4 linked regions of the Lytechinus pictus genome follow. The protein of the gene in region 3 interacts with the protein of the main gene of each other region in a pairwise test. Links are inferred from orthologs where the notes say so. Each region holds a gene or a part of one and is shown on either strand. Other genes may lie near its edges.

Evidence for each region.
Region 1: the proteins of ligand of Numb protein X 2-like (region 3) and dual specificity mitogen-activated protein kinase kinase 5-like interact in binary tests that used the Homo sapiens proteins (3 or more experiments, as listed by UniProt). The link is inferred for Lytechinus pictus from reciprocal best matches to the Homo sapiens genes LNX2 and MAP2K5.
Region 2: the proteins of ligand of Numb protein X 2-like (region 3) and selenocysteine lyase-like interact in binary tests that used the Homo sapiens proteins (3 or more experiments, as listed by UniProt). The link is inferred for Lytechinus pictus from reciprocal best matches to the Homo sapiens genes LNX2 and SCLY.
Region 4: the proteins of ligand of Numb protein X 2-like (region 3) and 60S ribosomal export protein NMD3-like interact in a two-hybrid assay, tested with the Homo sapiens proteins (3 studies listed by BioGRID and IntAct). The link is inferred for Lytechinus pictus from reciprocal best matches to the Homo sapiens genes LNX2 and NMD3.

Annotation. Positions count from the first base shown.
Region 1 is NC_087249.1:19,536,709-19,544,542, reverse strand, and holds the start of dual specificity mitogen-activated protein kinase kinase 5-like, read right to left. Parts: upstream 3,002-7,834; 5' UTR 2,810-3,001; coding exon 2,711-2,809; intron 1-2,710. Other genes in the region: short transient receptor potential channel 5-like, read left to right, coding at 5,875-6,046. UniProt on the Homo sapiens protein: Acts as a scaffold for the formation of a ternary MAP3K2/MAP3K3-MAP3K5-MAPK7 signaling complex.
Region 2 is NC_087258.1:5,796,932-5,804,587, forward strand, and holds the start of selenocysteine lyase-like, read right to left. Parts: upstream 3,022-7,656; 5' UTR 2,812-3,021; exon of another isoform or gene 2,611-2,811; intron 1-2,610. UniProt on the Homo sapiens protein: Catalyzes the decomposition of L-selenocysteine to L-alanine and elemental selenium.
Region 3 is NC_087250.1:24,234,781-24,241,758, reverse strand, and holds the start of ligand of Numb protein X 2-like, read left to right. Parts: upstream 1-3,975; 5' UTR 3,976-4,050; intron 4,051-4,056; exon of another isoform or gene 4,057-4,218; intron 4,219-4,631; 5' UTR 4,632-5,797; coding exon 5,798-6,087; intron 6,088-6,978.
Region 4 is NC_087245.1:29,841,968-29,849,279, forward strand, and holds the start of 60S ribosomal export protein NMD3-like, read left to right. Parts: upstream 1-4,291; 5' UTR 4,292-4,870; coding exon 4,871-4,911; intron 4,912-7,312. UniProt on the Homo sapiens protein: Acts as an adapter for the XPO1/CRM1-mediated export of the 60S ribosomal subunit.

The sequences.
Region 1 (7,834 bases), on a different chromosome or scaffold from region 3:
TATGAAGATGTAGATGATAGTCGCCATTCTATGGAGAGCTAATAAGTACAGGGGTCAAGACGTGAGAAAATAATCAGAATGCTTTTGGCAGACCAAAGACCTAGGAGGAAGGCTAGGGCAGCATCTCTATCTATACCTGTCTCAGTGCCATCCTCCTTCACCTGTACAAATTTGCTCTAGAGACTGCCACTCTAGAGCTAAGTTCTACAGCCACTCTCGAAAATGTAAGACCCTATAGCGCTACACCATCGTCTTTTAAGACGAACTGATGCCTACCAATCATTGGACACATTGATATAGGGAAAACATGGAGAAAAGACTTTCAAATTCAAATAAGACACTAAAAGCCTATTCAGTACAAGAGTATGGATGGACATTAAAACAAATAAAAATACACACGAAATGGATCATAGCCAAAACCTTAAAAGGATTCATTCTAAGGTGAGCAGCTAATGTCGAAATCTGACATCTCAGATGTGACTTCACCTTGACCTAAAACTTGAGAATTAATAAAAGAAACGAGTGTTCTTACTGAAATCCCTTTATATTAGCCATTACACGTATAAGCCTCGGAAAGTAGTTTTTTTCAAGATGGCGTTTGGCGGCCATCTTGGATTTGATCTGAAGATTGTCCTTTATGCAAAATTACAACATAAAATGAATCAACAAACCAAATGACTCACGAATAGATTTAATATTCATGATTCTGGGGCAAAGGGTTCAAAAGTTAACATTTAAAAATATAAAAATGGCGTCATATGGCGGCCATCTTGGATTTGACCTGTAGATAACATTATATTGCAAAATAGATAGCAGAAATGGATTCTACACACCCCAAAACCCCTAAACAAAGTTGTTACTCATCATTCTGGGGAAAGGGGTTCAAATTTAATTTTTCAAGATGGCATCTGGCGGCCATCTTGGATTTGACCTGAAGATGACCTTATAATGTAAAAATGATAATAGAAATGGATTCTACCCTACCCTAAACCTCTAAAAGGAGTTATTCCTTATCCTTTTGGGGCAAGGGGTTCAAAATTTAGGTTTTTAAGATGGCATGTGGCGGCCATTTTGGATTTATGCAAATTAGCAAAATTGCCCAAAGTTGCCGTTTGGGCAACCAAGCTGAATTTGTTCTAGGACCCCATAGGAACATGAATCAAGAAAAAAACTTCATCGGAAAGACATTTCTAGGTTCGGAAAATGTCAAATCGACTACTTGCCACCAAGAATGATCTAGTCGACTGTGAAGTACAACTGAATTGTGACTGTGAGATCATCGCAACAAGGATCTAGATTTATGGCCAACAGCCACTCATTGTTGTGTCTTCCAACCGACCTCCTAAAAATGATGGTCTATGCTCAGTCTCTGTGCCAAGCAATCCAACAGATTACGATCAGTAATCCTTCTGCAGTAGTCTGGGTCAGCAGGGATTTCAATCTTCCCGACATTAATTGGAACACTGCATCCATCGACGGTCACCAATACACTGCTGCACTGAATGATTGAAGTCCACCTTCAATGATGTCGGACTGTCACAAATTGTCAACTTTCCAACTCGCACGGACAGAACACTTGATTTGTTCTTGACGAATACTCTCATGGATAAAGGACTTTCTTGAAGGGCGTACACAACAAGTTATACTTGACGGAAAGATGAGTAACAGCAATCCTGTCACACCGGGCATGCCCCAAGGTACAGTCCTCAGTCCGCTTCTGTTCACTGCAACCATCCTGCCTGTGGAGAATCTACAGGTAGGACTATGGTATGCCAATGCTGTATTGAGCACACACTTTAAAAAATCATTAAAATATCACTTTCGTGACCAAAATAACTAATTTCCATACAGTTGCAATTTATTTCCATTAGTAACTTGTAATTTTTGTATTCAACAGAGCGCTCAAAAACTTGAATTTTTGGCATATTTTTGTGAACACCCTCTATTGGTGGAAAGTAATATGGCAAGAAAATTTACATTTTTCAATCTCTATTTTTTATTCAGAAAAAATAATTTAAATAATCAAATTTACATAAGAGCCAAGTTATATGATGAACAGCTGTATTGGAAACTGACAGTGTAAGAAAATCAAGCATTTGTCCCATAAAAAAGAGAAAATAAGCCAAAATTGCCACCCTTATTTGCCACACATGGAGATGTAACTCACTAACTGAGAACAAGGTTATAACACATAACCTTGTTCATTGAATGAGTGGGCAGGCCCAGGGGCTGAGGGGCAGGGAAATGCTGAAAATTTACCCAATTTCATTCTTCTTTTTTGTAGCCAATAATTGGATTAAAAAAAAAATACATTTCTGTCATTCTGAAGGTTATTTCTCTTCAAATTCACAAAGAAAATGTGATATTTTCTTAAAATAAGATTTTTTTTTTTCCAGACACCCTATTTTTGTTTTCTTTACAATTGGAAATGTCATTGACATTAAATGTCATGATTTGGTACATAGAGACTGTGTGGAAAGTCTACTTTCACTGCTAATTGAGGGAAGTACCTATTTTTGCTTGTTTTAATATCCTATCTTTTGTGAATTTTGTAACATTTTAATACCGCCACTGGCTCACTCGTCAACATTATCAAAACCAATGTAAGGTACAAAACAAGACAATAAAATGAATATGTCGGACCAAGATGACCGAGTGAGAGCGAGTGAAAAGTTTAACCGATCAAAACACCCTTAGATCTAGGCCTTACCAAGACTTCATGAAATGACAATTGACCAAGCTGCACTGTCCAATCAACGTCCTCTCCATGTTGTGTTTTTATTCTTATGACGAGAGGTTGTGCTGCCATGTTTTATCCACTTATAGGTCTATTCGGCGAATAATACTACGAGTTCGGAAAATGTAAACCAACCAGAAATCCGGAAGCGAATACATAAAAAAAAATGAAGAAAGGGGACGAATTATTTTACTTATTATTTCAACTATGGTATCTTTGCAGCGCAGAGTTTGTAGGGGGCCGATCACTGATCTCTCCACTAGTGGAGAGATCAGTGGGGCAGATGGGTGTATGGGGGGGGGGGGGGGGTATTGGGGGTGAACATAAGAACATTCATTGATTATCTGACTCAGATCTCCCATTTTGGAGCGTCGTGGCCCAGTGAATTAGTCTCCGGACTTTGAAACAGAGGGTCGTGGGTTCAAATCCCAGCCATGGCGTAATTTTTTTCAGCAAGGAATTCATCCACAGTGTGCTGCACTCGACCAAGGTGAGGTAAATGGGTACTGGCAGGAAGTAATTCCTTAAAAAAGCTGTGTGCACCGAAAAGGTAGCCTAGCTTAGCCGGGTAATAATAGCAGGGCCCGCTGGGAGAACACTTTTCGGAACTGAAGTGGCTACCATGGGTAACTACCTTTATTATTATTATTATTATTATTATAATATACTCTGCTTTCTTCTTTCTTTCCTTTCCTCATTTAATGAAAAAGATAAGAGGATGAGAAAAGTTGAATAAAACAGGGATTGTAAAAATAAAGTTTCAGGTCAATATACTTTGCTCAAGACGATAACATGCATGGGGCTTGAAAATTTTCGTTTTCAAGTTTCCATTATTATTTTTTCAGCGAGATCGACACGCATCATGTTAAGAAAATGAGTGCTGAACAATATCACAAATTTCCAGTTCGTGCTTGCTTCGCACTCTTATTATTTGATTGACTGGCTAAATGTATAATCTTTATCAATTCCAAGAACAATATTGATCGTCCCCTTTTCCGGTAAGCAGACCTTGTATTTTAACTATTTTCCTCCTTTATTTGCATTCCATTAATTGTTTAGCAAGACACGCATCCTGTTCATGACTACAAAAAGATCATCAGAATGCCCAATTTAAGTAGGCCTGTATACCCCCCCCCCAAAAAAAAAAAAAAAAAAAAAAAAAAAAAATCAGCTCGCGCTTCACGCTCGCATCATTATAAAAAAAAATTAAACTTTCAGGTCTGAATACATGGAATATCCAACATTTTGAGCTCGCACTTTGCTCTTGCATTTTTTTTATTTAGGTTTTATTAGATATACTCTCTCTTGCTTGTAAGAATTAAGTTAAGATGTACTTAAAACATCGATCAGTCTTTGGTCCCTTTAATAGTTAATGTTACCTCCCCCCCTTAAAAACCAACAATCTTTACAGGCCGATCGGGGAAACTGTGGATGAAAATCTTTTCAGCCTGATTTGTACAGATTAGACAATAAGGAACGTTGCCCCCTGATCCAATGCATTCGTCATTTTAACTCATTTTTGTTTCATGTTCACTCCAAACAATCTATTCCAATTTGTAATAAAGATACATTTAGAGAATTTATATTAACAAGATCAGACGATTCTTTCTCAATATGAATAAATAAATGGATTCTATTCGTTCGAATAACAATTTGTGACAAGAGGCTTTTTAATAGATATTCTAACATTAAGCCATTATTATGTTATGTTTTTAATCTTTAGTAAACATTATACCACTTGGTACGTGAGAATGATAATGACACAAAGGTGTTTATATTTTAATAAATAAGGTTAACTATATGTGTGAACATCAGAGACAAAATTACCCAGCCATAAGTATGGGAGGGACAATTAAAATATATTATAAACACAGTAAATGAATTATTGTCAAAATTAAACAAAATTGATAATACATAGAATCTATTCAGTTCGTCAATATTCAAGAACACAGAATACATAAATTCGATCGGGTGCCGCCCTGGCATTATAGGCCTATACCTATTTCATTAAAATTTGAGTAGATTAATTTAGAGTTTCCCTAATTGTGCACTTTTGTTTGCATAATTTTGGATGACAGAAGGATATCAGGTACATGAGAAAATCCTATTGATTCACAATGATTTTCCCCATTTCTATTAAGATTTATTCTTGAGAATCTTCCCATAGTAGGCAGTGAACATACGATAATTAATTATTCACCGCATACAGAATATAATACTTAGGCAATATATACGATAATTATTAATATCAGCACACAATCATGACTAATACAATATTGAATAGCCAAGGCCCGAAGCTTTTCAGATCCAGCCATGCAATGAAGAACAAATAATTGCATTTTCTGCTTCCATTTCCCCATTTCAAATGATTTTTGTTGAACTCTTTTCTCGCTTTGTGCCGGCTGCTGGTACTTCCAGCGGCATGATTGATAAACATTGCTCGATTATGATTATTAGGCGGAGCTCGGTTTATACCTTTGTATCAGACCCATTTAATATAACGATCAGTTGTATAAAGCTTCGTGTGAAAAGCTTCACAGAATTTTGTCAGATTCGTGGATGATATAAAGAGATAATTCTTGTTATGGATACTAGTATACTGAGAAATGACATGACTACAATGTGGTTTGTGCGGCTGACGTGTTTAGATGTGTACGACTATAATGGATACCTGCAATATTAATGTTGGCGAAACGTTTTCTCCGAGGTAGAGATCAATTCGACGTTGGATCATGGGTCCATGATTGGATTAAAGGAACCCTCTTAAATCTTTGATCGACTGAGATATGTTGTTGTTCACTGGAGACAAGTGCAAATCTACATCGATGATAATGCAATGTCTATCAGTTCCAGTTATATGTGCCATTCTTCGCTCGTGAAGGGGTTTAATCATGGAATGTAAACAACAGAAAATATTGCACTGTTTTACGCCGCCTCAATTTGTCAAGTGAATGAATAGACCTCAAAGGGAGTTTAATACACATTATTAAAAGAACTGGAAACAATTATGAACTTGATCATCAATTGATTTGTAGAGGGCTGTCATATTTCTTCATTTTTCCTGAGGAAGAGGCCTCTAAATAAGTCTTTGGAGTAAAAAGCAGTATAAAGCAGGGAAAAGCAGACAACTGGCAAATATGACATTCAAGAAATTTTATCGGCAGAAGCTATTTGAGGCCGTCGAGTCGATGGATCTCTTGCTCGTAAAGACGTTCCTCTCTAGACCAGATGATTTGGGATTGGACTGGAACTACAGAGACAAGAACGGTCGGTCCGTCTATGCACACGCCATCAAGATTGGTATAACTCGTAAGTGCACACTTCTTTTAAAATAGAATTCATTACACAATATGAAATATGCTTTATCAGCAACCGAAAAGTTTTGGAATCATTTTGGTGAATTTTTGGAGGAAATTGGTGAAGGTAAAATAGAGAATATTTGAAATCCGAAAACGCCTATTATAGTCCCATATTAAAGATATTGTATCTGAAACGAGCTTGTGCTAAAGTAAACGTGATGAGGACATGGGGTGGGGGGGGGGGAGTAAGGCAAAGAAACGCTCCAATTTGTTTGGCAGTTTTTCAATGACTCAATGACAATAAATTCATACCTTCACAAAATGATAAAAACTAAAAATTATATATATGTAAATAAAGATCCGAAAAATGGAAATAAAATAAATCAATATATATATATATATATATATAATGATAAAAATATCATAAATAAATGAAGGAAGGACTGAATGAATGAATAAAATATATCACTTCTGAAAAGAGCAATATTTGAAATAAAATAACCTGACAAGCAAAAATAAAAAGAAATGAAGGAGATTGGAACTCTAATCCATACGAAGATTGTTTGCCTTGAAAGATCAAGGGGTTGAAAAAGAAGGCATATTGTTGTCTTGTTATCGATGATTTAACAGCACTCATGAGCCAAAATAAATCAAGAATGCCATGAGTGTTTACCAGTAATGGGGGGGGGGGGGCATGCTAAATACAGAAATCAAATGGAATCGATTCTTGCAATAAAATGTTAAAGGGTTCTGATCACTAGATGTATATAGTTTTAGACGCATATTACTATATTCGTTTGTGACATTCCATCCCCCGAACACAGAAAATCCATTTCGCATGTTATCTAGACCGATTGAAAGTTGGAAAATTACAAGTTATGCATTTGTATATACTTTCGGAAGTTTATGCCCCCTTTTACATCGTCTGTAAGAAGGTCTGTTTCTCTCCTTGATCCAGCTTGATTTTACTCACAATCTTCATGTCATTCTTGACACCCCCATCCAGTGGCGTACCGTGGGTCACGGCATTGGGGGGGGGGGGGGGGCACCAGCAAAAATATCTTAGGATATTTTAGGAATCCATTAAGTGCATACATATCTCAGCATAGTCATCTAGTACTAGTGCCATCCTTTGCTGATTTTGTTAGAATTACATCTAAACACATGAAGCACTTTTTGTTGTCATAGTCATACGTATCTCACTAATCAAATACTGCGAGCGCGAAGCTGAAAATTTAGGAAATTCAGACCTGAAAAAGGGGCATTCTACGGCTTGTTTGCAGGAATTCACTAAGACCGTACGTATTTCACTAACCAAATGATGCGAGCGCGAAGCGCGAGCTGAAAATTTTTGATATTGAGATCAGAAAAATTGACATTTTAAGGACTGATTTTAGGAATTCATGAAGAGCAGACGTCTCACCAATCAACTAATGCGAACATTAGCACGGACAGGAAATGTTTTATATTAATACCTTAAAATAGGGCAATCGCTTTAAGTATTCATGAAAAAGAAGCAAATGTCACTACATTAAACAATAATAACTCGAATTGCGAGGAAATATATTTGGTGTACAGTATATTGATTTGAAAACGGGAGGTTTTAGTACAACAGGATTATATATCTCGTTAAACAGTCTATGCGAGCACAAGGAACAATGAAGACATAGGCCCTGAGCAAATAATGTTTCATAAAGTGATGAAAAACTGCTTCTTATGTAATATAACATAATATAATATAATAAAACAATATAATGAACAATAATTTATTTTTTCCCCACTACGTTTCTCTTCCTTT
Region 2 (7,656 bases), on a different chromosome or scaffold from region 3:
ACAAGCACTCTCTGTGGAGTCTGTTGACAATTAAGGCACAAGCTCCAGCCCAGGCATGCCACTTGTTCACTGCAACCACCCTACCTGAGGGGAATCTACATGTACATGTAGATCTATGCAGTAGACAACACACATTTAAACTAGAAATTTGACGTGTCCAAAGGACACAGATGCCCCCGCTTACGCGATCAGAAATTCATTCAATATGATTGAACTTAATATCGTGCAGAAATCAATATGCATACATATAATGAACAAACTAAGACCTTTGAACCAACTCGCATACATAATGAGCTGTGAACTTTGACCTGTGAACTCCAAATTCAAATTTAGCCTGTACTTTGGTGTCGTCTACCTACACACCCAACTTTTTTTTAATCTGTTGAATATTTCAGAAGTTACCATGTGGAAACCAACTCGCATATTTAATGAGCTGTGACCTTTGACCTGCGGACTCCGAATTTGAACTTAGACTTTATTTTGGTGTCATCTACCTACACACCAAAATTTGATATTAATTAACGATTAAATCAATCCTAAAACAAAAGGAAAATGATGAACAGACCTGCACACAACTCGTATTTAGTCATATATCACTAAATACTTGGGTGCAGGCACCCACGGGTACATTACCGCCGCCGTGCACAGGATAACCACTGGCACGGCATTTGCAATAAGTTTATTCGTCTTTTCTAAAAATTAGAAATATATCTACATTTAAAATGAGATAAGCTTTGGATATGAAACTTACCAAATGATATGAAGCCAATTTCATTTCCTCTCTGTCTTTCTGGTACTTTACATCGATGATTTTTCTTGATGTCGAAGCAGTCATGGTGCCGATTAGACAGCTGGCAGCCGTCTGTTTCGAGGAGTTTTTTAACATTTTTTTTTTTTTTTAATTTCTCCTCATACACAGACGGCTCGCTATCGTGCAGCCACCATTAGGGGACTTACAATGCAAAATCCCCCCGTCGGGGCTCTTCAATTTTTGTCTTTAATGAATCAAACTTTTGAAAATTAACGCGACCGAAATGCAAATTAATATTCCCTCTTGGCATTAATTGCCAAAAAACTGGGAAAATCAAGTTAAAAGGAACAAAAACAGTGACTTACCTCCGCTGTCGCGCAACTTCACTGCCCTGTTTTATCCGAACTTAATACACATAAACATATGGCCATTGAGTCCCCTGTACAGATCGCGCTAGAACTTCGGTCTCTGTATTTGGTGAGTGAAGCCAACGGAGTTCAGCTGAACAACCAACATAACAGAGACCGAAGCTTTTGATCTAGGTGCCGATTCGCTGGTTCTCTCTATACGCACAGAGAGGGCGCGCAATATTATTTAATAAACTTGCTTGTTTACGTCGTTTACGTCAGATCAGCTGTACTGCTGGTCGCGTTCTAGGCGCTCCGCATTTTTTTTCGCTGTTCACCGTAATTTTATGATGTAGCGCCAGCAGCGATTATACGTGAGATGCAACCTGTTGATTTTTTTGGTACAATTTCCTATTATGCGCCGAAGACTTGAATCTAGACTGTTCGATAGGAAAAATATGCATTTCGATTGTTGTTTGCGTAATTTCCACCGCAGTATTAAGGATCGGACGGAGTGTCTTGGCTGAGATTTGGAGGTAAGCATTTAAAATCCCTTTTTATAAATACGTTCGAGCACATTTTTAAAATTGAATTAAATGATAAGATTTAGATACCTAAATAAATTTAGTATATTGTGAAGATTTTGGCGTGTTTCATTCTCTCACGTTCATGTGATGAATGAAAACGTCAAAATTCATTATGAAATGACATGCATTGTGCGAGGTTAGTATAATAACTAACCTCGCATGTTGTGTGAGTGATTGGTACCAGGAGTGATACTAACCTCATACTAGTGTGAGTGGCCCGTCTACCCATCACCTAACCCAGAGAGCTCCAGCCCGCGTAGCGGGCTGGAGCCCAGACGCGCAGTGTACAAACGGGCATTCAGGTGAGAGTACCGTGAAGTTTGGTCAATATCATTTACATAATACATAATTTAAACAGAAATTAAGCACTTACCACGATTGTATGGATGATAGTCTAACGAGTGGCAGTTTCCTGACATCGAGGCACAGACTGGAACCTCAAAAAACGATCAGTTCTGTCGCGGTGGCTCTCCTTCTTTCAAAATTCATAGCAAAATGGCCGTTCGAGAGGGTGTAGGGCGCATGCGCGAATTTGACAAAGTCTATATGCGCTAGTGCTATACTAGCCTCGGTCTCGATCGGCCATTTTGTTTTGAATTTTGAAAGAGGGAGAGACACCGCGACAGAACTGATCGTTTTTTGAGGTTCCAGTCTGTGCCTCGATGTCAGGAAACTGCCACTCGTTAGACTATCATCCATACAATCGTGGTAAGTGCTTAATTTCTGTTTAAATTATGTATTATGTAAATGATATTGACCAAACTTCACGGTACTCTCACCTGAATGCCCGTTTGTACACTGCGCGTCTGGGCTCCAGCCCGCTACGCGGGCTGGAGCTCTCTGGGTTACCCATCACCCTGCACCAGATCCCCTTACCAACGATGATTATTTGCAACACAAGAAACAACGAATGGGACACACGTACCGTACAACTACAAGTACATGTACAAACTCAGTTCAGCTCAGCCGTCACGACGTCACTCATTCATTGGCAACATAAAGAATCGCTACTATACTATTACTATGATTTTGCTTTTATTTAGAAAATCATCACCAACACATTAAAAAATACACATGAACATAACCATGATCGTCATACTCATTCATAATGGAGTAAAATGTTTACCTAAATCGATTTTGAGCCTGGCGCCGGTGTACCGGCGGATCCTGCGCCTGGCAGATCCTGCGCCTGGCAGATACTGTTCTAGGCACCAAATCCGCCGGCGGATATGGTTCTCCTCCGGCGGATTCAGTACCAAAATAGGCCACTCCTTTCGGAAGATTCGGAAGATATCGTTCTTGCGCTATCGCGATATCCTTCATTCATCACGTTCACACGTCATGCATGCGATATGCACACTTTCTACACTTTTCCTTTGCTTTTCTTTCCTCCTTTCTTTTTGTTCTTGTTTGTAGAACTTTTTGGGACCATAGCCCAACCCTTCCATACGCAGTGCTGTGCGGTTGGGGTCCGGAATTTCTTGATATCAAAGCCATTTAAACCTCGCAGATTGCCGCTATTTTAATCAAATCGCGGGCATGTACAGGATATAGCTTTTACACAACACATTTATTCAACCCAGTTGCGAAATGAACCAAATATTTTGAGGGGCAAAACATAGTAATGTGGGAAAAATCTGTAAAAAGTCGCAAAGCGATCGAGCTGGAAAAAAATGCCTTTTGAAATTAAATTCTAATTATGTAATTGATTTTTCCATTAGATTCAGCAACTAACAAATTTCATTGTTTCCATTCATTTCATTATACCTTGTCTCCTTTAATTTATTTTATTTCTCTTGGGTGTGGAACCAAGACCCCCCCCCCCCCCCCCCCCCCCCCCCCGCCGGCGGCGAAATTATTTTTCCCACCGAGTTCTGGACCAACATATGAATATTCATGAGTTGCGTCTTCGGATTAAGAGTACGCATGCGCGTGGACTTGAGGACTACAGGCGCAGCGGCGGATTCGGTTCCACCGGCGGATACCGTATCCGCCGGCAGATATCGTTCTTAATGGCCGATATCGTTTTTAATCGGAACCATATCCGCCGGGTTTGACGCGGCTTGATGTTTGCAGATTTGGTCCCTCGGCGGATTTGGTTCTATTGACGATACGTGTAATATTTATTTGGACAGACGTCCAACCTCGGCAGCGCGCGCATGCGCGGCTCTGGCAATGTCGTTACCAATGGGGGGAGGGGATTTTCGTCCGCCTTTAGACTTTTAGTGAATTTTTATTCAGGGGCGGATCCATACAGCTTTTGACGAAGGGCTCGATGGGGGTGAGGGAATAGGAGAAACAATGACTCGATATATCATGTATACATAGACCTGGAACATGCGCCAAAACTTTGCTATTTATTATTATCAGATTTTTGAATGAAATTTTCATCATTTTGTTTTGTAGGCCCTACGTGAAAATTTATACTACTTTAAGTCCGCAGTATGCATCGAAATCTTTAACTGTGCTTTTTCACACCATGATTAGTGTAAGTTTGCCAGACTGGCGAAAATTTGTACCCCCATATAGGCCTATAGTTTTGATAAAACTACAGATTTTCAACGAGTTAAAACTTCATAATTTCAAAATAAATGAGGCAAATTAGTTTATGAATATATATTGCTGTTAACTCATATTATTGCTTGTAGAGTGCTAATTTTTTGTGAAAACATTTAAAAAAAGAATTTCAAAACATGATTAATATCTTATGTAGTTTATTGTAGGCCTATTTTTAATTTGTTTTTTTTTTATTCCTTTTTTTTCAATATTTTTGTTAAGGAATCTGAATTAAAGGGATGGTCCGGGCTGAAAATATTCATATCTTAATACATAGAGTAGAATTCACTGAGCAAAATGCAGAAAATTTCATCAAAATCGGATAACAAATAATAAAGTTATTGAAGTTTAAAGTTAAGCAATATTTTGTGAAAACAGTCATCATGAATATTCATTAGTTGGGCTGATGATGTCACATCCCCATTTTCCGTTTTCTTATGTTATCACACAAAACCATATTTTTTTCATTTATTTCATACTTGTGTGAATAATATGTCTCCCTTATAATGAAACAAGTTGCAGCAATAAATATCTAATGCACTAAATCAGTTGTCAATCCAAATTTTCTAGTTCTTGGAGGAAAAAATTTGAATAAACCTAATTTCATATAATAAATTACAAAAGAACAAGTTGAGATGTGACATCATCAGTCCACCTAATGGATATTCATGACGTAACAGGCGGGGGGGAGTTGCCCCCTGTCGGATTTAACCAGGAATAAAAGAAAAACGGGAAAGGAAAAAATAAATTAAAGGAGACAAGGTATAATGAAATGAATGGAAACAATGAAATTTGTTAGTTGCTGAATCTAATGGAAAAATCAATTACATAATTAGAATTTAATTTCAAAAGGCATTTTTTTCCAGCTCGATCGCTTTGCGACTTTTTACAGATTTTTCCCACATTACTATGTTTTGCCCCTCAAAATATTTGGTTCATTACGCAACTGGGTTGAATAAATGTGTTGTGTAAAAGCTATATCCTGTACATGCCCGCGATTTGATTAAAATAGCGGCAATCTGCGAGGTTTAAATGGCTTTGATATCAAGAAATTCCGGACCCCAACCGCACAGCACTGCGTATGGAAGGGTTGGGCTATGGTCCCAAAAAGTTCTACAAACAAGAACAAAAAGAAAGGAGGAAAGAAAAGCAAAGGAAAAGTGTAGAATATGATTTTATTTACTGAATATAATGCCAAAAAATAGCTCAAAGTTAGATTCTTCTTTGTGCAAACTTAATCTCTGATTAACGTCAGTCTGAGTCTGACTCTGTCCCTAATCATCAGAATAAAGGCAAAATGTTGAGGCTTTCCTCTTCAAGGCCTAATGTAACTAGAATCCGAAAGGTAGCTGGCTCTCAATTAGACTAAGGCTAACCCACCTCTTCTTCGAACTTCATTTCGCAACGTTATTCACGCGCGGTGCGCGTGCATGCATGACGTGTGAACGTGATGAATGAAGGATATCGCGATAGCGCAAGAACGATATCTTCCGAATCTTCCGAAGGGAGTGGCCTTTTTTGGTACTGAATCCGCCGGAGGAGAACCATATCCGCCGGCGGATTTTGTGCCTAGAACAGTATCTGCCACGCGCAGGATCCGCCGGTACACCGGCCGCGCGTTTCCGTTTTACACCCTGGCGAAGGCATTTCCCGGAAAAATAGCCACAAAGCGACTAGTGAAGAGTCTACGTCTACGTTTGTTTACATAATCAGCTGGGCGCGCGATCCAAAAGTCCGCACCGAGGATATCCGCAGAACATAAGTGCAAATGCAGCTGAGCTTATAGACCAAAAGCTTCAGTCTCTGTATTTTGGTTGTTCCGCTGAACTATATACGTTGGCTTCATGATTTTTTTAAAACTTTATCGCACATGATCGTTTATATGAATGAAAACGAATAATAGCTAAAATATTGAAAAATAAAACACATAATTACCTTTTTTCATATTATATCTATCCTTATATCTATCATATCTGTCTATCCACTATCTATGTTATAAATCAATCTATGGAACTACATGATATATCTATCTGTTAATTTGTCTATCTACTCTGTCTCTCTCATTCTCTATCTACCTATCTATCTGTCTATCTATTTATCCATCTAACATCTATCTCTCAAATTCTCTATCTATCCATCTGTCTCTCTTTTATTTCTATCTATCCATCTATTAATCTACTCATGTGCAATATCAACACTGCTTCGACTTCCTTCGGGAGTCTATTTCCTCAGCTCTACTTTTCCCTTTTTGTGCTCGATTCGATTCAATTACTACTTTATTTACTTGTTACCATTGTTAAATGTCTTGTATTGCATAATGAGTTTTTTTTTCTGAAGGTTGCCTCCTATTCTCTTTCAAATTCCACCGCTTGCTTTCCCTTCTCTTTGTCTTATCCCAATTCTTTCCCTTCTCTCACCTCTTTCCTCTTCTCTCTCCTCTTTCTTCTTAATCTTTCATCCCGCTTTTTTCTTCTTTGGTGACACTTTGTAGTACTTTTGGCCTTTTGTATTTATTTATGATACATTTCTTTTTCATCTGTATGAATTTGTATTGTATTTGATATTTATTTATAATGTTTACTTTATATTTTGTTATGATTCTATTCACTGGCGTAAATCCCGGGGTGGGGGGGGGTGGGGGATATATCCCCCCTCTTTTCGAGGAGGGGGGGGTGGCCTGTACAAACATCCCCCCACTTTTTACGAAAGAAATGGAAAAAAAATCACAAGAGATAATCGTTTTATTGGTGAAAATTCTTCCTAAAATACCGCTTAACAAATAAAACAATATTATTGAATCATAAAATGCAAATAAAGAGCCAGTTCACCATTTCCAAACGAAATACTTATGTCCTTATTAGAACATTGAAGAGAAACCCCCGTTTCTTCCAATTCATCAATGTTGGGGTCTTTGGGAAGGGAATAAGATGGAATGTCAATTTTTTTTAATGTAATCTCTAATAAAACCATTAAACCATCATGGGGTAAAAAAGATAATAATATTGGAGGGGTATTTGCCATAATTATGGACATACAGTGGCGTAACTACGGGGGCATGGGGGGGCACATCCCCCCCCCCCCCCCATCGGCTGACCAAAACAAAAAACGGGGAAAGGGGGAAAAGGAGAAAAGAGGGAGAAAGGAAGAGAAACGTATTGGGAAAGAAGAAAATGTTATTCATTATAATGTTATATTATATTATAATTATGTTATGTTACATTACATAAGAAACATTTTTATCATAACTTTATGAAACATAATTTGCCCAGGGCCTACGTCTTCATTGTTCCTGGTGCTATAATAATCCCTGTTGTACTAAAACATCCCGTTTCAAGTCAATTTAACCAAATATATTTCCTAGCACTTGAGTTATCATTGTTTTATGTAGTGACATATGCTTCTTTTTCATGACTCA
Region 3 (6,978 bases):
AATATGTTTTCATAACATGTGGCAGCAGTACATGTCGAGACTTGAGTTCCAGGTGTCCAGACAGTCCTTTGTTGTATAATGGTCATGATGATATAATCTCCATAGAGGTACATGTATTGTGAAGCACACACAATCTATAGGTCTAGTGCTTTTATACAAGACCACTGATCCATGGTGCAAGCTGCTTTGTTAAAATTGTATTCAATGAGTTCTGGGGAATCCCCTGATGTCATGAGCAACACCTCACACTGCTTTTATTGCATCATTACACGAGACATGACATGCACGATGTCATCCGGACATGGTGGCTCAGTGGTAGAGCGCCCGCCTCATGGACGGGAGGTCGTGGGTTCAATCCCCGGCCGAGTCATACCAAAGACTTAAAAAAAGGAACCTTCTGCCTTCTTGTCAGGCGCTTGACGCATGAGAACGGAGAAGGGTAATAATAACCTATTATGTTATGCAGGGCCCGCTGGAAGAACAGCTTACAGCTGAGAGTGGCTACCCTGGGTAAATAAGTGTTATTATTATTATCTACATGTATTTAAGAGGAAGTCCAACCTGAAGAAAAGTTTATTGTAAAAATAGCACAAAAATGGTAAAAGATATTGTAGATGGTTAGAGAAATATAGAAATAAACTTTGAAAAAAGCTATTGGGAATCCAACAAGAAGGACATACATGTAGATAGACCAACGTATTATGAGTTGAGAAAACCATACATGTATATGGCCTATGATTCAAATAAAATAAATATGAATATTTATTGGAAATGCACCTTCAGGAGCATGATCCATTTTCAAAATTGAAAGCCCTACTGTGCCCCTCGATGAATGAAACAATACCAGTTCCAATCATTGTAACTTGAAATATGCAATGAGCTGTACATCTATCTATGCTGAACTCTTGAACAAATTGAAACCAAGCTCCAGGACAAATCAGAGATCATCCAAGTTTGGCTCACAAGACATTCCTAGACACGTTTTTTCTTTTTTCTTCTTTATCGATGTCCAAGGAATGCATGTCTATGCATGTTCACACTTTTTCAGTACTTGGCCAACCTGTCTACATTTAATACCTCTTGGCTCTTTGAAATACATGTAACACTTCTCGGCCTCCTGAGCTCAAAGCATGCTTTGACCTCTATTATTATTACCCATCTTTTTATTCTCAATAAACCGTCTGCTTTTTTTGCTCCTCAAATCGGCAGCAATAATTTGTTTTCTATTCATTTTCATGTCCAATTTTAAAGAAAATTCAAGGGGAATATGAATTTGATTTTTTGTTATTTATCATTTAAAATCAACTTGTTCTTTAATAAGTTGTTGGGATGATGAAGTCTGTTAACTTCTTTCATTTAAAAAAAGTAAAAAATTGATAGCCTCTTTGCATTAACACTGCAGTGTACACATCACATACATTTCATATAGGAATGTATGTAGAAGGGGAGAGGTTTTAATCTTAGTTTATATCCCTTACTTAAGATTGTTGTATTGAGAGTGTACACAAGGAGAAAAAGAATAGTTTTACTACGAAAAACGTTTGCCATGAAATAGTTCATTTTCCTTGCTGACGTCACACATAGTCCATTTTTTCCCTAGGGAAAAAGTGAACTATACGTTTTTTGACCCCGCCCCCTACTCGATTCGCGAGCTGTGCGGCGCGATGCGAGCAGAGCGCTGCTCAGCCCAACGGTACTCTCTACTGCATGCCATGGGAAACTTTCGACGAGCTGCACTAACCAGGTGCGCTCGCTGAACAGACGATCAATACGGCAAGGCTTATTGTTTTCTCAACTTCTCAACGATTGTTCCATCATCGACTTATTAAAAATCGTTTTGCTGTAAAAGTCGGGTATCAACGAAGAATATCGTATGAAGAATATATATGAGTGGAAGGGATATAAAACAAATATACAATGACCCATTCTCGGAACTGGCTAAAACTATTTGCACTCAGGAACATCACACGATGGCCCTCGGGAGAATAGTACTATATGATGTTCCTTCGATGCGAATAGTTTTAGCCAGATCCTCGAGTGTCATTGTATATTTGTATACTATAAACTTCAAAAGAAAGAAGAAGGAAAAAAACCAAGGCCCAAGTGTCAGATTATAAAGCAGCATTATCTATTCTTCAGGAATTCAGAATGTAATATAAATAACCTTGAAGAAGTAATCCTTTATAATACGCAGCTCTTCCAAGCTAAACTACATAATCGTACAATCTCCTTTTAATATGTTTGTAGTTTTCCATACACTTTTTAGAATCTCTCACTGGAAAATCCCCATGAAAATCCTCTTTCACTGTTTAGCTCATCCAATATTTATAGATTTCCATTGTAGGCAGTAGGTTTTGAATTGTAGTCTGGGTCCACGAGAAAAAAAATCCTGACCTTTGTCTTCATTTGAAAGAAAGGACAAAATATTTTTATTCACAAGTCAGATATTTGAAATGGAAATAAAAAAATGTAGATATTTTAAATACATCCATATCTTTTGTAGTTTTCCATACACTTAAGAATCTCTCACTTGAAATGAAGAGCCATACCCTTGATGACATTTTGTATGCAGGAGACCCTGTGCCCCTGGGAAGCCTTTAGGGTCAAGATAAAAAAAACCTGACCTTTGTCTTTATTTGAAAGGAAGGACAACATATTTTCATACACAAGTCGGATCTTCAGAGGAAATAAAAAAATATACATCCATATATCTCCAAATATGTTTTGTAGTTTTCCATACACTATAGAATCTCTCACTTGAAATGAGGAGCCATACCCTTGATTACATTCTGTATGCGGGGAGACCCCGTGCCCCTGGGAAGCCTTTAGCGTCAAGATAGTGATTGTTAAATATCTCTGTGAACCCATCCTGCAAATGATGCGCTATATTTATCTCCTCTTCTGACTTCAGAAGATCAGATGTTCTAGGTTCATTTATTGCGCATTTATTATGCATGATCAGACCCGTGTTCAGTGTAGTATAGGCCATGTGTTGTTGGCCTATGTACATGTACCTTCTCTGTTTATACTGTGATATAAATGATAATTCAGGGCCCACTGGAAGAGCAGTCTTATGATTAAAGTGGCTACCCTGGCCCCTTAGTAAATAAAACATTGTTATTATTTGTGTTTACAATGTACAGTGATGTCTAAAATCCGATTTTGAGAAATGTTTTCTGTATTTTCCTGATCACATTTTCCATCGATTTACATAGAGTTTATGTTAAATCGGTATTTAAAAAAGGTATAAACTTGATGTTTTTGGTCAGTTTTCTTTGAGGGTACATACATGTACATTTTATGTAACCAACTATTATGCCAAATTAATTTTCTGATGATGACGAACCACAGGTTAATTTAAGCAAATGACCATTGAGGAACAACTACAGCCCATAGATGGTTTATAGCCTACAGACTGTACATGTAGGTCAGTAGGCCAAATTAATTTTTTCAACTCCATTTGCAATCAGTGGCAGGGTGTGAAGTCCAGCACCCGATCAATGTCCACTCATCAGAAGCGAACTACATGGAACAATGCGATTCATGTACACTACACATTTTTCATGGGCCGCTAGATAGTTTAACTGCTGAGATTTTTTATAAGTTGGTAGCCGGGGGGGGGGGGGGGGGGCGGGTATGGAGTGCGATGGCTGATTGAACCCCCTAAATCCTAGCAAGAAAAAAAATAGGGGAGGAAAACAATTCATTGACATGAAATGGCCATCAGTTTTGGCTGATCAGTGATGACCTTTGTTTTTCTCGTCAAATTTTCAAGCCACATTTGCAACCCAACCTGCCTTTTGGAATATTCCTGGCAATGTACAGTACTTTTCCATAGATCTGCCCATTCAAACTCAAAAGTGTCAATGGCAACTAGCTGGTAACATGACTCCATTATTCATAGCTTTCTCGGTGACGTCATGTCAGTGATAACATTGTGCAATCATTGTATTCATTTGGATGTTCATAGTACACATACATGTACATACATGTACAGTATCAAATGATCTACATGTACATACAATGTACATGTAGGATGCCCTGGAGCTTGTGAGTGTGTATTGTGCTGCCAGCTTGTAAAAGATACCAAACAGATATAGGCCTACATACAACTATTTGAATTTTAATGATTGGGCATTAAGATTAAAATGATAAAAAGTGAAATCTAATCCGGGAAATTAATATTGTTAGTGTGGTTCATGTACTACAATGTACAGTGTATGTTTGGTCTCTCATTTGTTGTTAAGATGTCTGTACATTGTACTTTGTTGACATGTGATCTACACTGTACAGTGTACAGTGTTCCTTATCTTTCAAGGATCAAACCTTGTTTGTTTTCCGCTGTATGCCAAAGTCTACCAACACCAAGGATTGTCTAATGAAACTTGATATTCCTTATTATGATTATTGGCATTATATGTACATGTTTGGATTGTCTGCCTATAAATAACACAAATACACTGTATACATTGTAGCATAATTATTTACTCCGGTCCTGACTCCCCATCCCCCCCCAAAAAAAAAATGATTGGGTACATGTTCAGTCACTGGTCCTCAAATATGTACAGCTGAATATACTGTACGTATGTAGTGCTGGATGTTAAAAACACTATTTTTTTTTTTTTTTGCAGGATCTACCTTACATGTAGATCAGGAATACAAGGCCTGGAACCTGATGACCACATTCCATTTGATCATTCCATCACTCATCACCATCCTTCATCCGGTGGATGTCCAGCTTACGGCAAAAGATATCGCACTCTCAACTGGGCGATATAACCCAGACGACGATTGACCAGAGAAGTTAATCAGAAGAGCTCATCCTCTCTTCCCAATCGTGTGAATTCGCTCTCATCCGCTATTACCCTCTCTCTGTCCCTCTCTTCAAGCTGCCGATGCTCAAATACCAATTCGTCGTCGGCAAACATCGCTTCGGATGCTTGAGAGAGAGGAAGGGGGCGATATTGGATTATATTCACCGGCTATAATTACACCCAGTGAATAGCAGATGGGATCAGCTGACTGGGTGGCTTGTGAGGACACTGTTTAAACCTGTCATGGACTTTTGCCTTGGGAATCAATGTAGAAGTGAATAGTGTGTGTGATCTGTGGACGTCTTAAAGCCAAAGGTGAAGGTTTACTCGGAAAGTACTTGAGAGTTTTAACATATTAAAAAGGGGATGAACTCGTATGATATTTCTTACTATTGAATTTTGATGACTATGTATGAGATGGATCTGAATAACATTGATGGATAAATATTATTTGCTTCATGAATATTAAATCATTGTCAAGGAAACGAAGCCAGTCCAGTTGACAGTTGGAACTGCTGCCTGGAAGTGACCTCGATTCACTCATTTATTGAGATTTATTTTCCCCCCATTATGCCTCTCTATCCTTTTGGGACGATATGAAATTCAGTCTACTGTTCCTAATGAATTGCCAGACGTCCATTAGTGGTGCGGAGTAGATGCCATTCAATGGTTGGTTTTGGAAATTAATAATTATTTGGAATACAGGCACATCTTCTTGTGGTAATGTGGTAATTGTAATCTTGATCTGCAACAGCATACAGGACTGTTTTTAACAAGTAGTTCTGATGATTTGTGTCTTTATTTTGGAAGCCTTTGATTTGAAATTGTGGAGACATCAGGATTCTAGGGTCACAATCGCAATGGAGCGATTCAAATCTCATTCTTGCTGATTTGTACATGTGGATACCGCCAAGACTATATTACAAAGGGTGAAGGAGCCATCAAAGATTGCTAACCAGGAGCTGCGAAACTAACCAGTCAAGATGACGGACCCGTCCCCTGCCGCGCGCAACCCCATCATCCTCTGTAGGACTTGCGGACAGCGCCACCAGCTCCACGACAACCACGTCTACGACTACTGCGATGTCGTAGACGAGGAACTTACGTGTAATATATGCCTTCAACCACTAGTGAACCCTATGGATACTATGTGTGGACATACGTTTTGTATGCGCTGTCTTAGGAGTGTTCTGAACTTGCATAAATTCTGTCCGATCGACCGGAGGCCGTTGACACAGCAGGATTGCAGATCGTCAAGTCTTATCGTCAGAAGGTGAGTGATGTATTATAACAAAACAGAGCCGTTTGAACGGTTTGATACATGTAAAGCTCAAGCTGTTCGTAAATTGATAGAGACTTTAAGAACGACTGGTGAACTCCAGTATATACGTGTACCATCGTTAGTGACAGTTTTTGTCTACACAAGAAAGGATCACCATTGGTTCTTAAAGTAACTTTTAACTTTATCAACAGCTTTATGGAACACGCACCAGAGCCACATCTTACAAAGAGTTATTATTGAGCCAGTCAACCTCGGATGGAAATACATCAATGTTGTAATTTTTCATCCAGGAAATTGGCACAACGACCCTTTGTCATTAAAGAGGAGCACACTGAATTGTCAAGACAATGATGCATGTTTGATATACATGTACATGTACATGTACATCATACATGTATACAGCGTACATGTATAATTTAGAAAACCTTTTTGTCAGACATGCATTATTATAGATTGCGGTTGCTGGCTTGCCATACTTTTGGCTGATCTGATCAATCAAAACTATTTGTAAGATGGGATTCAGAGGTTCCTATTGACTTTATATTAATTCTTTGATTCTGATAGGCAGGGTGCTTCTGCTACATAACTTTTTAGAAGCACTTGCCCAGTTGGGCAAGTAAATTTTTAAATAGCTGGAATATACCTGCCCAAAAATCTATTTCACTTGCCCGAAATAAATTATTGAAAAAAAGTTTTACCTCTTCAAAAGAAAGTTTTGCAGTTTTATAAACCATTGACCTTTTTCTCTCAAACTGATCTACTTTGTTATTGCATTTCTTTTCCCAAATTGATTTTATATTGCCTGCCATGACCAAAATTAGGATCAATATCATATCGACCCTAATTTTGGTCATTCTACTGTGAGAATTTTGCCTGCCCAAT
Region 4 (7,312 bases), on a different chromosome or scaffold from region 3:
GTTAATAAATATGATATATTATTTCATAATTTAATTTCAAAAGTTTGCGAAACAATTTTGATATTTGGCAATAAATTTACAAATGGCGTCATATGGTACATCAAAATAAATGGGTGACACAAAAGACCTTCCTTTTGAAGAGTAAGACCCTTTTATGCCATCAGCCTGGAAGTTGTTTTAAATTAAAAATCAAACTTGTATCAGGTCTTAGGGTGTATGTTTCACAAGATGCTAAAAATATCACATTTATGCCATGTACAGTTAATCCTTTTTAGCACTGCCAGGTATTATAACTTGATTGATTATACATTCAACTGGACAGATTATCTTTTGTTGGATTACTACATATTCACATAATCAATTAATCATCTCAACTTTTCTCAAGCATACTTTTAACTTCCATGATATTTTGATTGACAGTTTCTTTTCAAAGTGTTTATATCTATCAATCATTTCACAAAAAATTTGATTTTTCTTTAATAGCTAAGATACATGCCCATTGTCTCCCAAAATGAATACATTTATGCCCCCGTAAATGAAATATATATGAAAAGGGAAGGGTGACGGGTTTTCATAATTAATGCCCGAGGTACAAATAATATTGCTACATGAACTTATCCATGTTAACAGAAAAGTACCATTTACATGTGTTTAAAGGTATTTGATGAAGTACTGTGTGAAATTACTTTAGTATACTGTATATATCTTGAATGTAACGACATAGGAGTGTTGTTGTAAAGTTTTAAATATCTATCTGAAGTAAATGCAGTGCAATTCCTAAGATGATTTTTAAAGATTGTTTTACTGCATGATAATAAAAAAATTTCTTGTTGATATAAAATCTTCTTTGAGAATGGGAATTAAATAATTCAATTCAATTATATTCAAAGTTTATTTCAATCAAACAATCAGTCAATTAATCAATCAATCATAGAATACAAATATATACAGATTTAGATAAAAACAAGTGTTGCTAAATACATACATGAATTATTGAATTGATTTAAAACTGAATGAATAGTAAATTTTGAAGCATTAACTTGAAAAGCACATGAAGATATCTTTGAAGTTGAAAGAACACTGATAAATTACTATCCATATTTGGCTTTGAGAAAGAAAGATTCAGTTCAAACCATATTGCACAAGCCAAAGACAAATGTAATAGAGTCTCAGCAGAGTGCTATTCATTTTTACTTCTTTATCCCTTCTTATGCAGATATTTTGTAATGTTGAAAAAAAAATCCAAGTATGTTTCTTGCCAGATGATCAGTTGGAAGAACTCTAAAACTTCATCATAAATTTATTTGTGTTAATTTTCTTGTGTTAAACAGGATTTGATATGTCTGACTTGTATAATTATGTAGATCTCTCTTTTATAAACTATTTACATTTATGTATGCATTTTCAGTTTATATACCAACTAAGATGTAATTAATTATGTAAAGTAATCTTTGTGAAAATGTTCAATTTTTGTTGGATTTTTTTCTTCAGAAATACATTTATCCCTCGTTTAAAGTTATTGTTCGATGAGCCAAAGATTGTTTGCATTGCATGTGTGTGATATTGTCCAGTCATGTTGTTTTAGTGGGAGAAGGCTTGAAGGGGAAGTTCACCCTGAAGAAAAGTTTGTTGTAAAAATAGCAGAACAAAATAATGAAAAATATTGGTGAAAGTTTGAGGAAAAAGATCAAGAAAGTTATTAGAATCTTAAATTTTGGATTTGTGACGTCATAAACAAGCAGCTGCCCCATATGTCATGTAAATATAAAATACAATATTTTCATTTTTTTAATGGTTCGCTTTGACTTATTCTTGTTTCCTTTTTAGGAATGGGTGTGAAATGATACTGAAGGTTCAGTAAAACCATTTTTCATTTTCTGAGAAAATTACATTTCATTGATTTTGTTACCATAAAATATGTAGGAAAGATGCTTGCATATTACATCACAAATCAAATAAGTTAAATTTTTTATTCAATGATGGATTTTTCTCAAACCTTCAGCAATATTTTTATTATTATTTTTTTTTTGTATTTTACAATAAACTTTTTTTCAGGGTGAACTTCCCCTTTAAAAGCCGGCTTAAAAGTTATGTAAAGAAGGAAGAGAGCACAAACATATTATTTTGTTATATGATTTATATGAAAGTGATTAAAAATGATTCTTGACATTATTTGCTTGTTGAAGATGGAACAAGCATGACAACTGTTCCATACTGATAACAACTTATATGGCCACTTGCTGCCAATATAATGGTTTGCATAATTTTTCTTTATTTCAAAGTCCAATATGCAGAAATTTCATAAGTTTGAATGCTATGGCCCCTGGCTGCCAATATAATGGTTTGCATAATTTTTCTTATTTCAAAGTCCAATATGCAAACATTTCATAGGTTTGAATGTTAATCATAAAAGCTTTTATCTCACTCTGAGTGCAGTTATGAACCAAAGATTTATTTGTTTCGGGGGTTGTTGTAAACTTTCAGAATAATTAGTTACAGAATGTCAACATTTACAGCAAATTTATGCATTTATGCACCTTCTAGTATTGTCATGTATTGGAAGAACTTTCGTGTAATGAACCTTCAGATGAACTGTCAATTTAATGAGTAAATAACTTGAATAACCTGAGGATAAACATATTCAGTATGCTTTGCTCCTTCTTAATGTTCATATTACTCTTCAAGACAATCTACCAACTGCAAATTGACAAAATCACAACATGTAGACGAAGAGGGAAGGGGGATTCTCAAATGAATCATATTAATTTGGTACTGATTGGCAATTGCTTAACTTATGATTATTCTTGTGCACCCTGTTTTGTGTGTAGTCATAATGAATATTTTATGATTAAGTATTTGGAAGCATACCCTTTTCTGTAAAGTGATTTTCATGAAAGTGATGAAATATATATATAAATAGTATTAACGTCAGTTCAATTTCATTTGTCATAATTATTTCCAACTGGAAATGGACTGTCAAATATCTACTACAATCTCATGAAATTTAAGTCTGTACTAACTCAATTCCTTAGATATTTTACCACATTATACTGGTCAATCACATGGTATTAGCCCTCCAAAATCGCCTTTGAACAAGTTTTCTGCCAACTGAAATCATCATGAGACAGTTCATAAAGGAGAAATTCAATTCACCCTGATGATAATTCAGTTTTAACCCCCCCCAAAAAAAAGTATTGTTGCAGGTTTGATGAAAATCTGTCTAAGAATATGAACTTATAAGGTTATGGATGCTTAAAGTTTTATTTTGTGACGGAACAGAAAAGTGGCCCCTCAATATGTTTGGTGATATAAATTCCCCAAATTGCCATTTTTTTGTCAAAAAAATTGAACTCATATTTTATTTGTGCAGGGGATGTATCAGAGGTATCATTTCATTCCTTCTATAAAGGGGTTTGAAAAATATTTTTATTCCCATTAAAAAATTTGAATTGTGGGATTATATCACATTAAGGGGGAGCTGCTCGCATTATATGACACGTACAAATGAAAATTATATTTATGGCTCTCTTATCCTCTGAAGGATTTTCATTAACCCTTACCAATATTTTTCTCTATTATTTCTGCTTTTATTAAAGAGGAAATTCACCCTGAAGAAAAGTTTGTTTCAAAAGTAGCAGAAAAAACAATAAAAAATATCGAAGGTTTATTAAATATTAGGAAAGTTATTAGAATTTAAAGTTTTGAATTTGTGATGTCATAAATGAGAAGATGCAGCATATGCAATATAAAATGCATAAATTTCATTTTTTATTGGTTCATGATAACTCTTTTTTCTTTTTAGGAACAGGTGTGAATGGTTTGTGTATTGTTATACAGGAGGTACATTAAAATCCATTTTTAATTTTTCTCAGAAAATGGAAAAATTGAAAATGGATTTTATTGTACCTCTGGTATAACAATACACAAACCATTCACACCTGTTCCTAAAATATGTAGGAACGCTGCTCACATATGATCACAAATCAAATAATTAAAATTCTAATAATTTTTATAATGCTTTGATGGCTTTTTTTCAAACCTTCGGCAATATTTTTAAAAATTATTTCTTCTATTTTTACCATCAACTTTTTGTCAGGGTGAACTTCCCCTTTGAAACATTCTAAATGCATTTACTGTAGGTTAATTAGATCTTTGAAAGTATTACATTCAAACACATTTAAAAAAAGATCAAGTGGAGGTCAACAATATGTGCTCCTTGGTTGAAATTCAAGTTATGCTCCATTCCAAATGTTTATCCAACATGCTCTTGCTCAGGGATTTTTTTTTTTCGGGGGGGGGGGGGGGGGGTAATAACCCAAAGCTAATGCCATTTTGTCCATATCATTTAAACAATAGAGGTATTATATTATAGAGTTAGTCAACCCAGAAATACTCTTACACTCTTACTTTCTCATTTCTTACTGTTTCCCCTTCCCTTTTTTTCACTACTTTGAAAATCATAATGGGCTGGCACCAGAACCTCTTGATAGGATAGAAGATAACTTGATATTATAATTTTGGCAGTGACAAGATAAGGGAAAGCAGCACCATAATCTTCACTTCCGGGTGGTCTTAGCATATAAAATGTAACTATTGCTACTAGTGGAGAGAAACGAAGACAAGAGGAAGAAGGGATGAGGTCGGGGGAAAGGTCAAGAGACGAGGGATGGAGAGGAAGAATGAAAGAGGGGGAGAGAAGGAATGAGAAAAAAGGAAGTGAGAGAAAAGTGAGAAGCTAGCTAGCTAGAGAGGGCGCTACATCTGATTGCGCAACGGGGTGACATCTAACCATTTCTGGAAAGCGAGACAGCTACATTCGGGCTTTATTTTCTGGTTTTCAAAATAATTGAATAGGCATCAGTGACAAAATATGGAGTACATAGAGACCCAAGATTCAACACAGTGTATGATGTAAGTATTCACTCTAATTTATGAGATTTTTTAAAAAACTTTTCTGTGATATTTCTTACGAGAGCATGCCAGTTGCCACATGTCGCTTCTTTTAAAATAATTTATCTTGTCTTCAGTCCCACGTGCTATAAATTGTGTCTTTAACCATGTTAACTTTCACTTGATTGTGGCTGGCTCGTGGTTTGTGCAGAAAGTTTAAAGAAGAACTGGAAGTAGAACAGTGGAATTTTTTTCCATGCCCATTTATTATTCAAACGTTGGTGAGACCAATCCTGGAATACGCCACTGGTTCACCCCGACCATTCGCCATACAGAAAAATGTACGGGGTGGGATAGACAGCTGGCAGCCGTCTGTTTCGAGGAGTTTTTCAACATTTTTTTATTTTTTTAATTTCTCCTCATACACAGACGGCTCGCTAGCGTGTCGCCACCATTAGGGGAGGTACAATGCAAATTCCCCCCGACGGGGCTCATCGATTTTTGTCTTTATTTCATAAATATATATGAAAATAAATCAAATGGACAAATATGCGAATTAATATTCCCTCTTGGCATTAATTGCCAAAAACCAGGGAAAAATAAAGTTAAAAGGAAAAAAAACAGCGACTTACCGTGGCTGTCGTGTAGTTCCTAGTTCACTCGTTCATCCGAAGTCGATATAACACACAAACATATGCCGTTGGAAGAACTTCCGGGTCAACTGCGTATCAAAACCATTGGCCAATCAGATCATCTCTTTTACGTCGGGTTTATGAATACTAAAATTCTAGACGTTTTTTTCCATTTTCCTTTATCTCTTTCTCTTTCGTTTTCTCTCTTTTTTGTTTTACTTTTCTTTTTATTTTTTATTTCCCCTTTTTTCTATTGTTTCTTTAACTGCTCCTTTCTTTTCCCCTTCTGTAATGTTGACGTAAAGGTCATGGGGCGGAGTCTGACTTTCGTCGGCCACTTTTTCATGAATTATTCATTACCAAGATGGCTGCCCACTAGTCCGAGTCGCAAGTGTCAACTTTCAGAGTTAATCCCCTGATTGCCAATTTTAAAGCGGGAATTTAGGGTAAGAAACTGTCGTTACTTATACATTTTCAGCTATAGGTGCATATGTATGAACTTTTGGTGGAAAATATCGCGGTATCGAGGAGAAAAACAAGAAATTAGCTGTGGCCATTGAGCCCCTGTACAGACGACTGTTTAACTTCGGTCTATGTATTTGGTGAGTGGAGCCAACGTAGTTCAGCGGAACAACCAACATAACAGAGACCGAAGCTTTTGGTCTAGGGGTGGGACTGATCTGAGACCAGTGCCGCTAACACTGTCATTTCTATGTAGGAACGCGCGAAGTAAAAGAGTCTGACTTACCAATTCTTGTGTTGACCCAAATGCAGATTTTGGTTCTACTTTAACAGGATTCCAATGCCCAATGAGTCAAATATCGTCCTTCAATTGAAGATTTCTTTCTAAATCGGGTAAAATCATAAGGAAATTTTTCCTTATTCTCGTCTGGTCCATAGTCTCCTACGCAAGGCTCGACATTAGCGGTGGCCCGGTGGCCCAGGGCCACCAGAAATTCACCTCGGGCAACCATTATTGATAAAATGTTAAGTTTTGGTGGCCCGAATCGGGCAACCAATAATTTTCAAAGTAGCGCAATTTTTCTCCCGATTTTGCACGCATTTATCAACTTTCTACAGTTCAAATTGCAACCCAGTTCGTCATGCGCCCTTTGTGTTGATCTACACACAAAGTTTGCATATTAGTAGAGTTACCAAAAGGTCGGCCGATCCACTGAGCAAAATTGCTATGGGCAAATGAAAAGCCAATTGCAAGTGCGTAAACAGTGTGCATTGCCACCATCGTCTGTTCTCGACGGCAAAAATGAGCATTGAAATGCTTTTCCTCAGCAAATTAGTTCATCTTAGTTACAAATGTTATTCCCTGTGCTTTCTATATTAAAATTGACTTATGTGGGATGAAGTGTCTTACCTTCATGTGGTATCGAAAGTGACGTTTGGAGGTTAAATCCACAAGAAATCCACAGAGTAACGTCGCGTGTATTAGCTATGGAGAAAAATGCGTGCGATCGCATGCGTTGTTGCAAGCTCGAGATGGCGCTGTTGAACTTGGTCTGGAAATTCATAAAAAATAAACAAAAATCCTTTGAGTAGGCTCACAATAAAATCATAAAAAATATACTTTATGGCTTAAACGGCAGATCTCGTGCCCACACATATCATACTGACTGTTGCGTAAGAAACCCTTTTTTCATGATAAAAATATAGCAATAAATGTTTTAAAAATAATGTTTTTCACATGGAATATGTTTGAAACATCTATATTAGAAGAAAAATGTGTTTTTGGAATGAATTCACACTAAAATGATGTTTATACATGCCTGTACTTT